3 linked regions of the Sus scrofa genome follow. The protein of the gene in region 2 purifies or fractionates together with the protein of the main gene of each other region. This does not show direct contact. Links are inferred from orthologs where the notes say so. Each region holds a gene or a part of one and is shown on either strand. Other genes may lie near its edges. The genes, in order: CAPNS1, CAPN1 and CAST.

The links.
Region 1: the proteins of CAPN1 (region 2) and CAPNS1 purify together in Homo sapiens (co-immunoprecipitation; 4 studies listed by BioGRID and IntAct, counting the BioPlex papers as one, with this or other methods). This does not show direct contact. The link is inferred for Sus scrofa from reciprocal best matches to the Homo sapiens genes CAPN1 and CAPNS1.
Region 3: the proteins of CAPN1 (region 2) and CAST purify together in Homo sapiens (co-immunoprecipitation; 4 studies listed by BioGRID and IntAct, counting the BioPlex papers as one, with this or other methods). This does not show direct contact. The link is inferred for Sus scrofa from reciprocal best matches to the Homo sapiens genes CAPN1 and CAST.

The regions. Positions count from the first base shown.
Region 1 is NC_010448.4:45,509,479-45,514,439, forward strand, and holds the start of CAPNS1 (calpain small subunit 1), read left to right. Parts: upstream 1-1,931; 5' UTR 1,932-1,980; intron 1,981-2,826; 5' UTR 2,827-2,844; coding exon 2,845-3,047; intron 3,048-3,954; coding exon 3,955-3,988; intron 3,989-4,291; coding exon 4,292-4,381; intron 4,382-4,535; coding exon 4,536-4,593; intron 4,594-4,690; coding exon 4,691-4,755; intron 4,756-4,961. UniProt on the Homo sapiens protein: Regulatory subunit of the calcium-regulated non-lysosomal thiol-protease which catalyzes limited proteolysis of substrates involved in cytoskeletal remodeling and signal transduction. Essential for embryonic development.
Region 2 is NC_010444.4:7,002,396-7,006,734, reverse strand, and holds part of CAPN1 (calpain-1 catalytic subunit), read left to right. Parts: intron 1-1,530; exon of another isoform or gene 1,531-1,640; intron 1,641-2,188; coding exon 2,189-2,367; intron 2,368-3,239; coding exon 3,240-3,251; intron 3,252-3,968; coding exon 3,969-4,177; intron 4,178-4,271; coding exon 4,272-4,311; intron 4,312-4,339. UniProt on the Homo sapiens protein: Calcium-regulated non-lysosomal thiol-protease which catalyzes limited proteolysis of substrates involved in cytoskeletal remodeling and signal transduction. Proteolytically cleaves CTBP1 at 'Asn-375', 'Gly-387' and 'His-409'.
Region 3 is NC_010444.4:103,339,570-103,343,908, forward strand, and holds part of CAST (calpastatin), read left to right. Parts: intron 1-2,623; coding exon 2,624-2,707; intron 2,708-3,709; coding exon 3,710-3,757; intron 3,758-4,339.

The sequences.
Region 1 (4,961 bases), on a different chromosome or scaffold from region 2:
CCAGCAACACTGGATCAGAGTCGTGTCTGCAACCCACACCACAGTTCATGGCAACGCCAGATCCTTAACCTACTGAGCAAGACCAGGGATCGAACCAGAGTCTTCATGGATACTAGTCATGAAGTATCCGTTAAACACTGAGCCATGACAGGAACTCCTGTCTGTTGCGATCTTGTTAATATTCATTGTATTACGGAAGAGAGAATGCATTAGGTTAGTGCTTAAGAGTACAGGCTAGGGAATTTACCCAGAGTCAGTTTACTTATTTGTAAAATGGAGATAACATATAGCATCCGTCCCATAGGACTGGTACGAGGACATGTGAGCCGATATATGTAAGGTACTTAGTAGGGTGCTTGGCAGTTAGTTTTTTGCTTTGTTTTGTTTTTGTTTTTTGGCCGTGCTGGCAGCATGTGGAAATTCCAGAGTCAGGGATGGGACCCACACCACAGCAGTGACCCAGGCCGCTGTGATGACAATCTGATGCATACAAAAGAACTCCCCAGTTATTTTTTTTATCAGTATTATCTAAGGATGAACAAGAGATGACCCAGGTGGCCTCCAGGAGGAGGGAACACCACAGGTACAGACACAGAGGCTAACAGCTTCTTCTTCTTCTTCTTTTTTTTTTTTTTTTTTGTCTTTTTAGGGCTGCGCCCATGGCATATGAAAGTTTCCGGGCCTACGCCACGGCCACAGCAACCCCAGATCTGAGCCACATCCATGACCTATGCCACAGCTTGCAGCAACACCAGATCCTTAACCCACTGAGCAAGGCCAGGGATCTAACCCGCATCCTCATGGATGCTAGTTGAGTTCTTAACCCACTGAGCCACAAGAGGAACTCCAACAGCTACTGTTTACTAAACATTTACCACAAAATTCTCGTAGAGGCCTAGAAGTGGGGACATGGAAACCCTTGTTGGCATTTTACAGATTAGAAAATCATTGTTTAAATCACTGTTATGGGACCCCAAATTATTAAGAGGCAAAGTCAGGATTCAAACTCCAGCTGAACCAGCTTCCCAGGAAGAGGCTAAGGGCTGGACAGCCAGCCAGTGTGCCTGAAGGAGCCTTGAAAGAGTACTGGGCGCTCACAGGTTGAAGGTTGCAACTAGAGAGCAAGCAAAAGGGCTCCAAGGGTTGCTTCAGTTGCCATTTTTCCTTTCAGTTGCATTCCCCACCCTGCCCACCACCTGACCTTGGGAACATCAAGCTTCAGAAACCAGGCTGTGGCCCCCAGCCTCTTCCAGTGTCTGGACCCTCTTTAGAGACTGGAAGACTGAGACCAGGTAAAATGATTTTTTTTGGTCCATCCAAGTAAAATGATTCTGGTGACCCTGACCCAGGGGGTAAAGGGGTGCAGGTGGAGGAACAAAGAAGTCCCATTCCTGGGAGTAACTGGGCTGCCATCAGGGCTGTGCCTGCAGGGTCCCCCCACACAGATGAGGGCGCTTGTCCTCAGACTGTGAGCAAAACAAAATCCGGGGTCTCCAGACGCTGTCTGTCGCGACAAGGCTAGGATAGGGTACAAGTGCCAAGAGTCCCAAGAATCCCTATCCGAGCAGACCAAAAACATCTGGAGGCTTGGCTTTGGGACGACAATTCACACTACAACATTTAGGCTTGGCGACTGTTCGGGTCACCTCGGAGTCCTGGTCCCCGAGTGCCTGCATTGGGGACCGAAAGGCGTAGAGAAAGATTTCCAGTCTATGAACTCCGGGCGGCGTCAGAACTGCGGCTCAGGAAACGCACAGCGAATTCTCAGCAGCCGCACCCTGTTACACTGGGCGGGGCCAGCAGGCGCCTGCGCAGTTTTAATACCGGCTCTAGGACCGCGCGGAATCCGTCCGGGCCGCCCTGCATAGCCTAACCCTGCCCGGGCCGCCTGAGTCACCCGCCCCGCCCTGCGGAGCCGGACGCAGCCGGAGGCCCAGGAGCTGCACAGAGAAGCGGACCCGCGGACGCGTGAACGAGGCGGTGAGCGCCCAGTCCGGACTTCCCCCCTGGTCTCCCTAAGCCCGGCCCTGGCGGCCTCCAAAACCATAGAGATCCTACAATTTTGGTCTCAGGAGTCCCCTAGACCCATGTTCAAACCCCTAGATCTGTCTGGCCCCAGTTATCCCGCCCCGGAGACTCTTCCACCCTCCCTCTCAGGTTCTGAAGTAGGAGCATGGATTTGAGAGGTAGCCGGTAAATTCAGCTCTGGGTGCGGCCTCCAGAATCGCGATCCTAGATCCGATCTCAGTTCTAATGGGGACTCCGTTATCTCGGACCCCGGGGCTCACACCCACAGTCTTAGACCCGAACCCACAGACCCAGCAATGACACTGTTATCTCGCTGCTGTTTGTACCTAAACCCGCAAGCTTACATTCTGGCTTCCCTAAATCCTGGCCCTGGGGCCTCCAGGCAGAGAATTTCTGATCCACGCCCTGATCCGCCCCAGACCTCTACATCAGTTTTGGGGCTCTGAATCCCAGATTAGAGCGCCTGCTTGGGGCCCCCATCTCGAGAACCCCACTTGACTTGGCTGGTGTCTGGTGCTTAATGATGCCTATGCGTATACTCAGTCCAGGGTCCTTCGAGCCAGATATGGACTCTTTGGACCGGGAAGAGGTTTCAAACCAGATAATCCGACTTTATGCCACCCATCCGAGACACCCTCCCCCAGAAGCCCAGGCCCTATCCTGAATGAACCCTCGAGCCCCAGTCAGAGGCTTCTTATTACTTCCCCCAGTCCAGCAGCCAGAAATGCGTGTATTTGGGGGGGAAGGGGCGGGCTTAGGGACGGGACAGCAACTTGACTCCTTTTTTCTCCCCCTCAGGAATCTTGAGTCACAGCCATGTTCCTGGTTAACTCGTTCCTGAAGGGTGGCGGCGGCGGCGGCGGGGGAGGCGGGGGCTTGGGCGGGGGCCTAGGGAATGTGCTCGGAGGCCTGATCAGCGGGGCCGGAGGCGGCGGTGGCGGCGGCGGTGGCGGAGGAGGCGGCGGCGGTGGTGGCGGAACTGCCATGCGCATCCTGGGCGGGGTTATTAGCGCCATCAGGTAAGGCGGGGCCTGCAGAGGGGCGGGGCCTGGAGGAGGAGGCTGGTCCCGCAAGAATAGAATGGGGTAACTTAGACCCGGACCCGGAACATTAATTAGGCTGGGGCTGGTCTGGGCCAGCAGACCGGCCTTGAGGAGGCCGACTGTATTGAGTTCAGGGAGCGGGACTTGATATGGGAGTAGTTTTGACTGTGGTGGGAGACACAATTTGATGGGCCAGGTGGGGCTTAATGGCCAGGTGCAGCCTCCTTCCGCTAACCTGGAGACTAACGTTAAGGGGGCGGAGCTACTGAAGCCGGGTGTCACTTCACTGGGGCAAAGCTTACCTAGGGGCGCGGCATAGCCCTCGTAGGTGCGTTCAGGGGTGTGCCCAGAAGAAGGCCAGGCTTAATGGGATAGGGGAAAAGGACTTGAAGGGACAGGGCCTGGCCAGGAACTGGCTGGATTAAAATAGAAAAATGTCCTGAGGGAGGTAGGGCGGGTGGTCGGTAGGGGCCTAGTTAGTTTTGGCCCCTGAATGTGATCCCTTGAAGGAGTGAGAACTCACGGAGCTGGGGTGGGATCTTGGGAGGACGCAAGTGTTCAGAAGCCGTGGAGATGGAGTAGGTTCCTAGACAGGTGAGACCTGAGGAAGGTGGGCCCTGGGAAAGCTGGGGCCGGGCTTCTAGGAAGTATGCCCTCGAAGGGGCTTTGTCTTTTGAGAGATCCGCCACTGTGTAGGGGGCACAACCAGGGCAGCAAGGATAGGGACAGGTGAGGGCAAAGACTGATGAGGCAGGCGGAGGGAGCTGGTAGGTAGGCTGGCAGGCTACGCGGTGGGGCTTGGTGGGCTGGGTCGTGGGGCTGGAGCTGCCAGTTGGAGGCCCCGCCCCCTGGCTCTACACTAACTTCTCCCGTTTCCCTTCAGTGAGGCGGCTGCGCAGTACAACCCCGAGCCCCCGGTAAGCCGCCCTTCGCACTCAAGCCGCCCTTCGCAGTCGGAGACCCCTTCTCATTCGGAGGCCTTTTCCAGCACCCGTCCTTGTCCCTCTGAAAAAAGCCCCACACCTCTCCTTATGAAATTTATCTCATGAAGTCTCCCCCTTGTCATGTCCCCAAACTTAGTGGTATCCGCTCCCTAATCACTGGCCACCTCTCATTCTCTGGTCACTCAACCTCCCAGCCCACTCTGACTTTCCCATTTAGGGCTGTCCTGGCCAGGACACCCCTCTCCCTTCCTGCTCTGAGATCTCCTCCTTCTGCAGCCCCCTCGCACCCATTATTCCAACATTGAGGCCAATGAGAGTGAGGAGGTCCGGCAGTTTCGGAGGCTCTTTGCCCAGCTGGCTGGAGATGTAAGTAACCTGGGGTCCCCAGACCTGTCGGAATCCTCCGGTGCCTTCCCTTGGGCTGCCCTTTACGTGTACAATCCTCAAGTTCCCATCCTCCCTCATGACACGCACAGACCCCTTCCAGTCACCCCGACCCATTCCTAACTTTTCCCCTCAGGACATGGAGGTCAGTGCCACGGAACTCATGAACATTCTCAACAAGGTCGTGACCCGACGTGAGTGTCCGGCGTCAACACATGGGGCAGGCTTAGGGGCATGGTGGCTGGGGCAGCTGTGATCTCTGACCTCTGATTTTCAACCTGTTCCCCACAGACCCTGATCTGAAGACTGATGGTTTTGGCATTGACACATGTCGAAGCATGGTGGCTGTGATGGATGTATCCTTGAGGGCAGTCTTGGGGAGGCCTTGGTGAAGATGGGATTTCCTTCCTTCCTTTTTTTTTTTGCTGTTTAGGGCTGCATCTGTGGCATATGGAAGTTCCCAGGCTAGGGGTCGAATTGGAGTTACAGCTGCTGGCCTACGCCACGGCAACATGGGATCCAAGCCATATCTTCGACCTTCACCACAGCTCATGGCAATGCC
Region 2 (4,339 bases):
CTTGGATCTATGAGGAGGAGTGAAATTTTTAGGTTGTCTGGTAACTCTGTGTTTAACTTTTTGAGGAACTGCAAACTGTTTTCCCAAGTCCCAGCCCTGTTTTACCGTCCCCCTAGCCATGTTAGAGAGTTCCAGTTTCTTCGTATTCATGTTAACACCTGTTATTGTCCAGTTTGGTTTTTTTTTATTGCCATCCTATTGGGTTTGTAACTGGTATCTCACTGAAGTTTTGATTTGCACTTCCCTAATGACTAATGATGTTGAGTGTATTTTTAGGTATTGATTGGCCATTTGTATATATTCTTGGAGTGTCTATTCAAATAGTTTGCCCGTTTTTAGATACAGTTGTCTTTTGGTATGTTCTTTACATATTTCTTTATATATTTTGGATACGAGTCTTATGAGAAAGATGATTTGCATATGTTTTCTCCTATTTTGTGGGTTGTCTTTTTGTTTTCTTTTTTGTCTTTTTGCCTTTTCTAGGGCCGCTCCCACAGCATATGGAAGTTCCCAGGCTAGGGGTCGAATCGGAGCCGTAGCCACTGGCCTACATCACAGCCACAGCTACACGGGATCCGAGCCACGTCTGCGACCTACACCACAGCTCACGGCAACGCCGGATCCTTAGCCCACTGAGCAAGGCCAGGGATCGAACCTGCAACCTCATGGTTCCTAGTCGGATTCGTTAACCACTGAGCCACGACGGGAACTCCGTCTTTTTGTTTTCTTGATAGTGTCCTTTGAAGCACAGAAGTTTTTAATTTCGATGGTGGCCAGTTTTCTGTTTTCTCTTTTGTTGCTCATGCTTTTGGTGTCGTATCTAAGCATCCATTGCCCATCCTTGGAGTGCCTGTGGTGGGTCTCCAGGGTAAGGACCTGACATAGCATCCCTGAGGATGCAGGTTCCATCCCTGGCCTTGCTCAGTGGGTTAAGGATCTGGCATTGCCAAAAGCTGCACCTAGGCCGCAGATAAAGTTTGGATCCTGCGTTGCTGTGGCTCTGGTGTAGGCCAACAGCTGCAGCTCCGATTTGACCCCCTAGCCTGGGGACCTCTATATGCCGTGGGAGCGGCCCTAAAAAGGAAAAAAATTTTAAAAAGTTTTGCATATTCTGTCTAGCAATTGTTTGTTTTAGTCAAGAGGGTTGTTCCGCAGCTGAATCACTAAACTGCCAGATCTGCAAGTCCCTCTCAGGCCTCCTCTCAGACCCTGTGCTCCTTCCCCCCCTCCTCAGCCATTGTCCACACAGCAGCCCCCTTCTAAAACTTCAATCCAGGAGTTCCTGTTGTGGCTCATGGGTTAATGAACCTGACTAGCATCCGTGAGGGCACATGGGTTCAATCCATTACTGTGCCACAGCTCCAATTCCATCCCAGCCTGGGAATTGCCATATGCCGAGGGTGTGGCCCTAAAAAAAAAAAAAAAAAAAAAGACAGAAAATAAATAAATAAATATAACCTTAATCCAGTCACATCCCTCCCCCGTGCAGTCCTGATAGGGGCTCCTTTTGCTCTTTGATTCAACCCACACTTCGTGCCACTTCCCTGGTCGCCCGTGCTCACTGGAGCCCCATGTGTGGGTCTTCTCTCCTGCTCCTGCTTCCCAGGGATTTCCCCTTCAGGTCTCAGCTCAAATGTCATCTCCTCAAAAATGCTTTTCCTGCCCCACTCCAGCTTGCTTTCTTTGTAATTGGTTTTTTTTTTTCCGTCTTTTTAGGGCCGCACCTGTGGCATATGGAGGTTCCCAAGCTAGGGGTCGAATTGGAGCTACAGCTGCCGGCCTACGCCAGAGCCACAGCCACACAGGATTGGAGCCACATCTGCGACCTACACCACAGCTCACGGCAATATTGGATCCTTAACCCACTGAGCGAGGCCAGGGATCGAACCTGCATCCTCATGGATGCTAGTCAGATATGTTTCCGCTGCGCCACAACGGACACTCCTCGTTGTGATTGTTGATTCACCTGACTTGCTCAGATTCTGCCTCCCCTTGTGGCATGTGAGCTCATGAGGGCAGGGACCATGTGTGTCCCCACTCCTTATCTGTCACTTGGCACACAGTGGACTCTTAGTAATAGTTGTTGAATGAATGAATGAATGAATGAATGAGTAGACACATGGGGGGGAAGATTTGGTCGGGGGCTGCCTGGCCACTCCTCTGATCCCTGCTTCCCCACCTTCTGCAGCCACCTTCTGGGTGAACCCCCAGTTCAAGATCCGGCTGGAGGAGACGGATGACCCAGAGGACGACTACGGGGGCCGTGAGTCAGGCTGCAGCTTCGTGCTCGCCCTCATGCAGAAACACCGCCGCCGGGAGCGCCGATTCGGCCGGGACATGGAGACCATCGGCTTTGCCGTCTATGAGGTGAGCGGCTGGATGGATCCAGCCAACACTGCCGAGAAAGCCCGCCTCCTCGCCCACCACAAGCGAGCTCCGCCAGGGGGCGCCAGAGAACATGGCAGCACCTGCCCATCCTGAGCTCCTGAGGTGGGCAGCCCTGTCCCAGGGCTTGGGGAGGCACCTGCTGAGGCCCTCTGCCAAGATTGGGGCAGCCAGGGTCCTAAAATGCATCCGGTGAGGCGGCTGGAGGGGAAGGAAGATGCTTGGCTGGAAGAAGGGAAGATTCTGGGATTCCTCCCATCCTTAGAGGCCAAAAGGGTACCCTTGGTCAGTGGGCTCTGGCTTAGCTGACACCTGGGAGGCAGCTTCTGGCAGACAGACTTTGGCTGAGCTTTAGGAAGAAGTGGGCAAGTGGTCTGCCCTGGAGGAGTGGTGAGCTCCCTGTCTTGGAAGTATGTAAGCAGAGGCTGGCCATGGAGGGCCCTCCTTCACGGGCTATGTCCCAGGCAGAAACTTCTTGACCTCCCTGGGGATAAAGGATGGCCACGGCCTTGGCCCAGGCCCTGAGGCCCTGGCAGCAGATGTCCCTGGGCTGGAGGACGTGGCAGGTGGCTGCCCGGGGGCCTCTCCGAAGTCCAGCTCTGATTGAGAGCTGAGGTACGGGACATTCCAGGGACAAAGAGGACCCTTCGTGGGCCTCTCTTCTGGGGTCCTGGGACTTTTCTCTAGCATGAAAACAGGTCTGGGTCAACCCTGGCCCCACGACCAGGACCCCATCACCTGGTCCCCTTATCCCATGACTCTCATCCTGAGAATTCAGAGGCCCTGCCCAGCACACGCCCTGCCCCCTGCCCTGGGCAAAGCAAACATCTAACTTTCCTCGTCTCTCCTGACAGGTCCCTCCGGAGGTAGGTGTGCCATCTGACTCACCTGGATTTACACACCTTTGAACGCACCTGGCCCGATGGTGCTCAGAGCGGGCAGGACTGCGGCAAGCCCACACATAAAGCGCTGAGAAGTCACTTCGTTTTATGGCTCACAAAGTACCCCCATGCCCCTGCCCACTCTTCAGTGGGCAGAGCAAAGATTGTCCTCCTGGGGGTCAGAGCAGGTAGTAGGTAAGGGAGCTGGATTTGAACCCTGGTACTCAGAACACCACATACCCGCAAGGCTCTTCCTGTCTCAGTGTTTCTGCTGAGTAAGTGCTGGCTGAGGAGCGTGGCGGTGGATGGGCTGAATCTTCTGGACCCTTGAGCAAGTTGCTTAGGCACTCAGCCTCAGTGTCTATAAAATGGGCTGTCATGAGCACTAAATGAGGTGCCCCCCTGCAGTGCCTGGCACAGGGAGGCTCCAGCTCTGAATAATGCGTTATTTCATGGGGTCCATTCACCTCCACTGTGTGCAGTAGGCAGGGCTGTTACCCCCATTTTACAGATGAGGAAACTGAAGCAGGGTGACTTGTCAGGGTCAGGCGGCTCGTGGGGGGGCTGAGCTGTGAGCCAGCTCTGCAGCCCCTTGGTCAGAACTTGGAACCTGGGGTCTGGGTCTGGGTCTGGGGGCAGCTCCTCAGGGTGGGCTGCTGAGCAGGCAGCTGCAGCCCCCATTCCCTCCTCCCCTCCGGCCAGCTGGTGGGCCAGCCGGTGCACCTGAAGCGGGACTTCTTCCTGGCCAACGCCTCTCGGGCCCGGTCCGAGCAGTTCATCAACCTGCGGGAGGTCAGTACCCGCTTCCGCCTGCCGCCCGGCGAGTACGTGGTGGTGCCTTCCACCTTCGAGCCCAACAAGGAGGGCGACTTTGTGCTGCGTTTCTTCTCAGAGAAGAAAGCCGGGACCCAGTGAGTAGAGGCCCCAACCCACCCACTCCCCCGCCTCCCCACGCCCCTCCTGCTCCCCAGCTGACCAGCCCCTCTGTCTCCCCACCCTCTGCAGAGAGCTGGACGACCAGGTCCAGGCCATTCTCCCCGACGAGGTACGTGCCCTGCCCCCAGCAGCCACCC
Region 3 (4,339 bases), about 96 Mb from region 2:
TGACATGCCAAGACCTTACAGCCTTCTGAGCCAAAGCAAGCTTGTATTTGGTGAAAAGAAGTTTTCAGATTAAATTAACATTTAAAGAATTGCTCAATTGAGTCCTGGGCCAGGTGGTGAGTGGTGGTGCCAGGCAGAGCGGGAGAGCAGAGAGCTGCCCCAGGGGGCACTCTTGGGAGGCTTTGTGGTGGAGGGACCCTCAGGAGCGCCAGTCTGTCAGCTCAGGGCAGGAGCTGGCCATTGTCGCTGTCACAATGCTGCTGCCTCTGCTGTCACTTCCTGTTCTGAGTCACTGGGGAAGTTGAGTCTCGGTGACTCCTAGCAACTCCCTGAGTCTGGGACCGTCCTGGTCCGACATGGGCCAGTTTCTCTCTTCGACTTTCTTTGAGGGCTCGCCTGGCACAGTGTGGCAGGACACGCTTTACGAAGGCGAACACAAGGGAGCAGGGGAAGTGGTCCTTGTCCTCCAGGACCAAGTAATGTATTGTAATGTATCGGGAGGAGGGGAAACTTTAGTTACTACACAATGCGAGGCGCACAATGTCTCAAGGAAAAGGGTGCTCCTGGCAGGACCTCAGGGGTCCACACCCAAGGGCTGTGTGGCAGCCACCCAGCCAATGGCGCTTCTGCCTCAGGCTATTTCTAGAGAATTAGGGTGGTTTAATAAGATGGTAATTTGGGAGGGGCAAGTATAAACAAATCGCAAAACAAAAAGACTCGTAGATTGACTAAAATCTTACATTATTTATTAAGCAGTTTGGATTTAGGGATGCATATCAGTGTATTAAATTTCCTCTAGAAAATTGGCCAACTCCTAAAATTTGAGCAAAAAAGAACTTTTCTGCTCCTTCCACGAGTTTCTACTTTTCCACTCATTTCCACTAGTTTAATTATCTAAAATGTATAAAGAAGATCTTCCAATCCCTTGGGACCTTAAGCTGAATTTTCAGTATCTGTTGAATTCACTCTTCCTGGATGGTCTGATGTGATGGCTCATATAGTCATGAGAGGCTGTAGGAGTCCATGGCTACTCCAGCATGCTCTGCACCAGATAATGCTTCAGAAAAGAGGTCCATGCCTGGTTGTCATTGTTATAATGTATCATAATGTAAGATATTTATTCTGTAGTGATACCTCCTTATTCATCTCCCCTAGTCTGGTATTGTTTCAATTCAGGGGATGTTTGTTTTCACTTGCTACTAAATAGAAACCACAGCATTTAAGGAATGTAAAGATAAAAGAGGAATAGAAAAGATCTAACTGTGCATGTGTGGCTCTCACTGACCACAAGTCCAAGTGAAGAGAACAGTCCTATACAGGTGACCCTTTCATAAAGACTGTTTATAGCTGGAGACCTCACAAATCCCTGAATTGAGGAGTGCCAGTATATCATAGGACTTCCTCTATATCCTGCAGAGGAATATAACCAGAATTTTTTTTTTTTAAATCTCTTCATCCCTTAATGATAATTATATTTCTATAGAACAATAAAATTATAACTCCAAAGCCTAGAAGAGTATTTGGCTTATTAAAACGATTCAGGAGTTCCTGCTGTGGCACAGTGGGTTAAGAATCTGACTGTAGCAGCTCAGGTCATTGCAGAGGCATGAGTTCAATCCCCAGCCCAGCACATTGCCTTAAAAAATCCAGCATTGCCGCAGCTGTGGTGTAGGTTGCCGCTGTGACTTGGATTGAGTCCCTAGTCCAGGAGCTTCCATATGCCATGGGTGTGGCCATGAAAAAAGTGTTCAATACACATTTTAAAATTAACCAATCAACTAAGCATTCAGTGGAGAACCATAGTCTTAGGCTGAGATTTAGATGGCAGTGATAGAGTGAGCTGAAATCAGCTAAGTACTTACCTCCACACATTCTTTTGTGCCAGGAGTTCCTTGATTTGTGATTTAAATCCTTGCCTCGATATAGGTACAAATTATTAAGCTCCATGGAACTTTGCATTACGCAGCAGTAGTTTAAAATATAAACGTTATATCCTAGAAGCCAGAGATCTGCTATGGACCTGCGCTTTTATTTCTTCTGCGTTTGGTTGTTCATGATTCAGTAGTCCACTGACATCTTGGTGTTACCAAAGGGAGTTCTTTTAAAAGAAGTAAAACCACTTATCTGTGGATCAAGCCAAGATTGGCGATGGGCTGCTTCACGCTTTTCTGAATTGTTTTGGACATTCATGAGAATTGGTTGTTTTTTTCCCCCTTAAATAACAGCATCATTGAGTAAGACTGATGTCTTTAAAGCAATTGCAACTAACTTGTGCACTGTGTTTAACTTTCTTCAAAGGGTATTTTATTTACTTTTCTTTGGTGATCTTATAAATGAGTGAGCTAGATAAGGATTCTTAATAGCCCCATTTTGCTGCTGAAGGAACCAAGCCAAAGAAGGTCTTAAGTGGTTTCCCAGGGTGATAGAGACCAGGCAGGGGCACCTCCCCAGGACTCCTGGCTGTGTTGTTTTCTCTGTCACCCTTCACTGCCTTCCTCCTAGCTGCTCACAAGGCACCTTAATCTGATTTGGTCTTCTCTAGGACACTCAGGGGGTATGCAGAGTGATGTCTTATTTTACATGTGTTATCCAAATGTGTTTTTTTTTCCTCCTCTTTCATCAGGCAAAAGCCAAAGAAGAGAAACTAAAGAAGTGTGGTGAAGATGACGAAACGGTCCCGCCAGAGTATAGATTGAAACCAGCCATGGTACGTTGTCAGCTACGATGCATGACAGCAGCTCAGTCTGCTGCCTTCACATTACGTTTTGTCCTGTCTGTCCCATGATGCTTAAGGACATGTCTGTCCTAGTTCAGATATTAACTCTGAAAACCCTGAACCCTTTATTCTGTGTCCTCTGTAGTGGGACACTTCAAAAGAGGGCTTTCTAAGTAGTGACGATGTGGTCATTAATTCAAGTGTTTCATCTGTTAACCATGCTTGATACAGATCTTTAACTTTAAAGGACAAATTTGGGAATCATATTTTCTCTATCAGCCATATGAATAGAAGCATATAGATCTTCTAAGTGATAGATAAATATACAGTGATTTACCAGCATCCTCAGTGAAAGGTGGTTTTGTCGTTATTGGTTTTGGTTTGATGTGAGGATGGTGGACTTATTCCTGTAATTATATTTATAGTTAAGCTTTGAAATAATGCACATAAACAAATGATGGAAAATAGTTGTGATGCTTATGGATGCAAAGTTTCTCCTTTTATAGGAACATTCTAAATTGTGAGTATCCAAAAAGCTAAAACAGTTTTATAGAAATGAGACCTACAGAAACTAAAGCAGTTTTACAGAAATGAGACCTACCAAAAAGCTAAAACTGTTTTATAGGAAAGAGATCTACCTCTTCACCCTGAATTGGAAAATGGAAACTTTTTTTTTTGTCTTTCATTGATGTCACTGCATCTTTCTTGCCAAAGAACTTTTTTAAAAATTCTGTTTCCCTGTCCCAAAAGATGGAAATTTCTTTTAAAGAAAAGTAATTGCATTATATTTAATAGCATTTAGTCTCTTGATTTTTCCAGTTCAACTCATTCTTCTGATACTTTATTAAAAATTAATTTGAAACAAACTCATTCAGGTACATGGGAAAAAATAATATCTCCTCTTATATCCTGGAATTCCTAAAACAAACTTAATGGGATAAGAAAGAAAAATTTTCTATTTCGTTTTAAGTGAATTTTCAATTTCGTTTACAGGATAAAGATGGAAAACCACTCTTGCCAGAGGCTGAAGAAAAACCCAAGGTTAGGATAAGGTTTTTTTTTTCTGATACTTAAAAAACAATAGAACTATAAGGTATAAATTGAGACAATATTGGCAGAGACTTGCATGCCAGCCTAGTATTAAGAAGAGAGGAACTTCTGAGAGCAACACTTGGATTCTATTTCTGACTCCTTTTTACATATTTTCCTGACTATTTGCCTCATGAATTATCCCTACATGGTTACAAGTTTCTAGGTAATGTTTATTGAATATTAGGAGCTGATGTCAGGAGGGTCCTTAAATTAGGTTTTTAGCACTTGGTTTGATCCCAATCACAGCACCAAAAGCTCAATGATTCTGTACTGCCTTTATGTAATATGATGTTAACCAGCATAGTTACCTGTCAGGATGACACTAAGCAGCTATATTCAGTAGTCACTTACTGTGTGCCTGACACTGTGCTAAATGGTGTTCGTGTGCTACCGTTTTGAGTCCTTGCTGAATGAGGAGGGCACTACTATTACTCCCATTTTATAGATAAGGCAATTGAGACTTGAGTTCTGTTAATAACCCAAAGTCATACAGCCAGCGAGTTGCAAGGCCAGGAGTCAAAACTAGTCTGT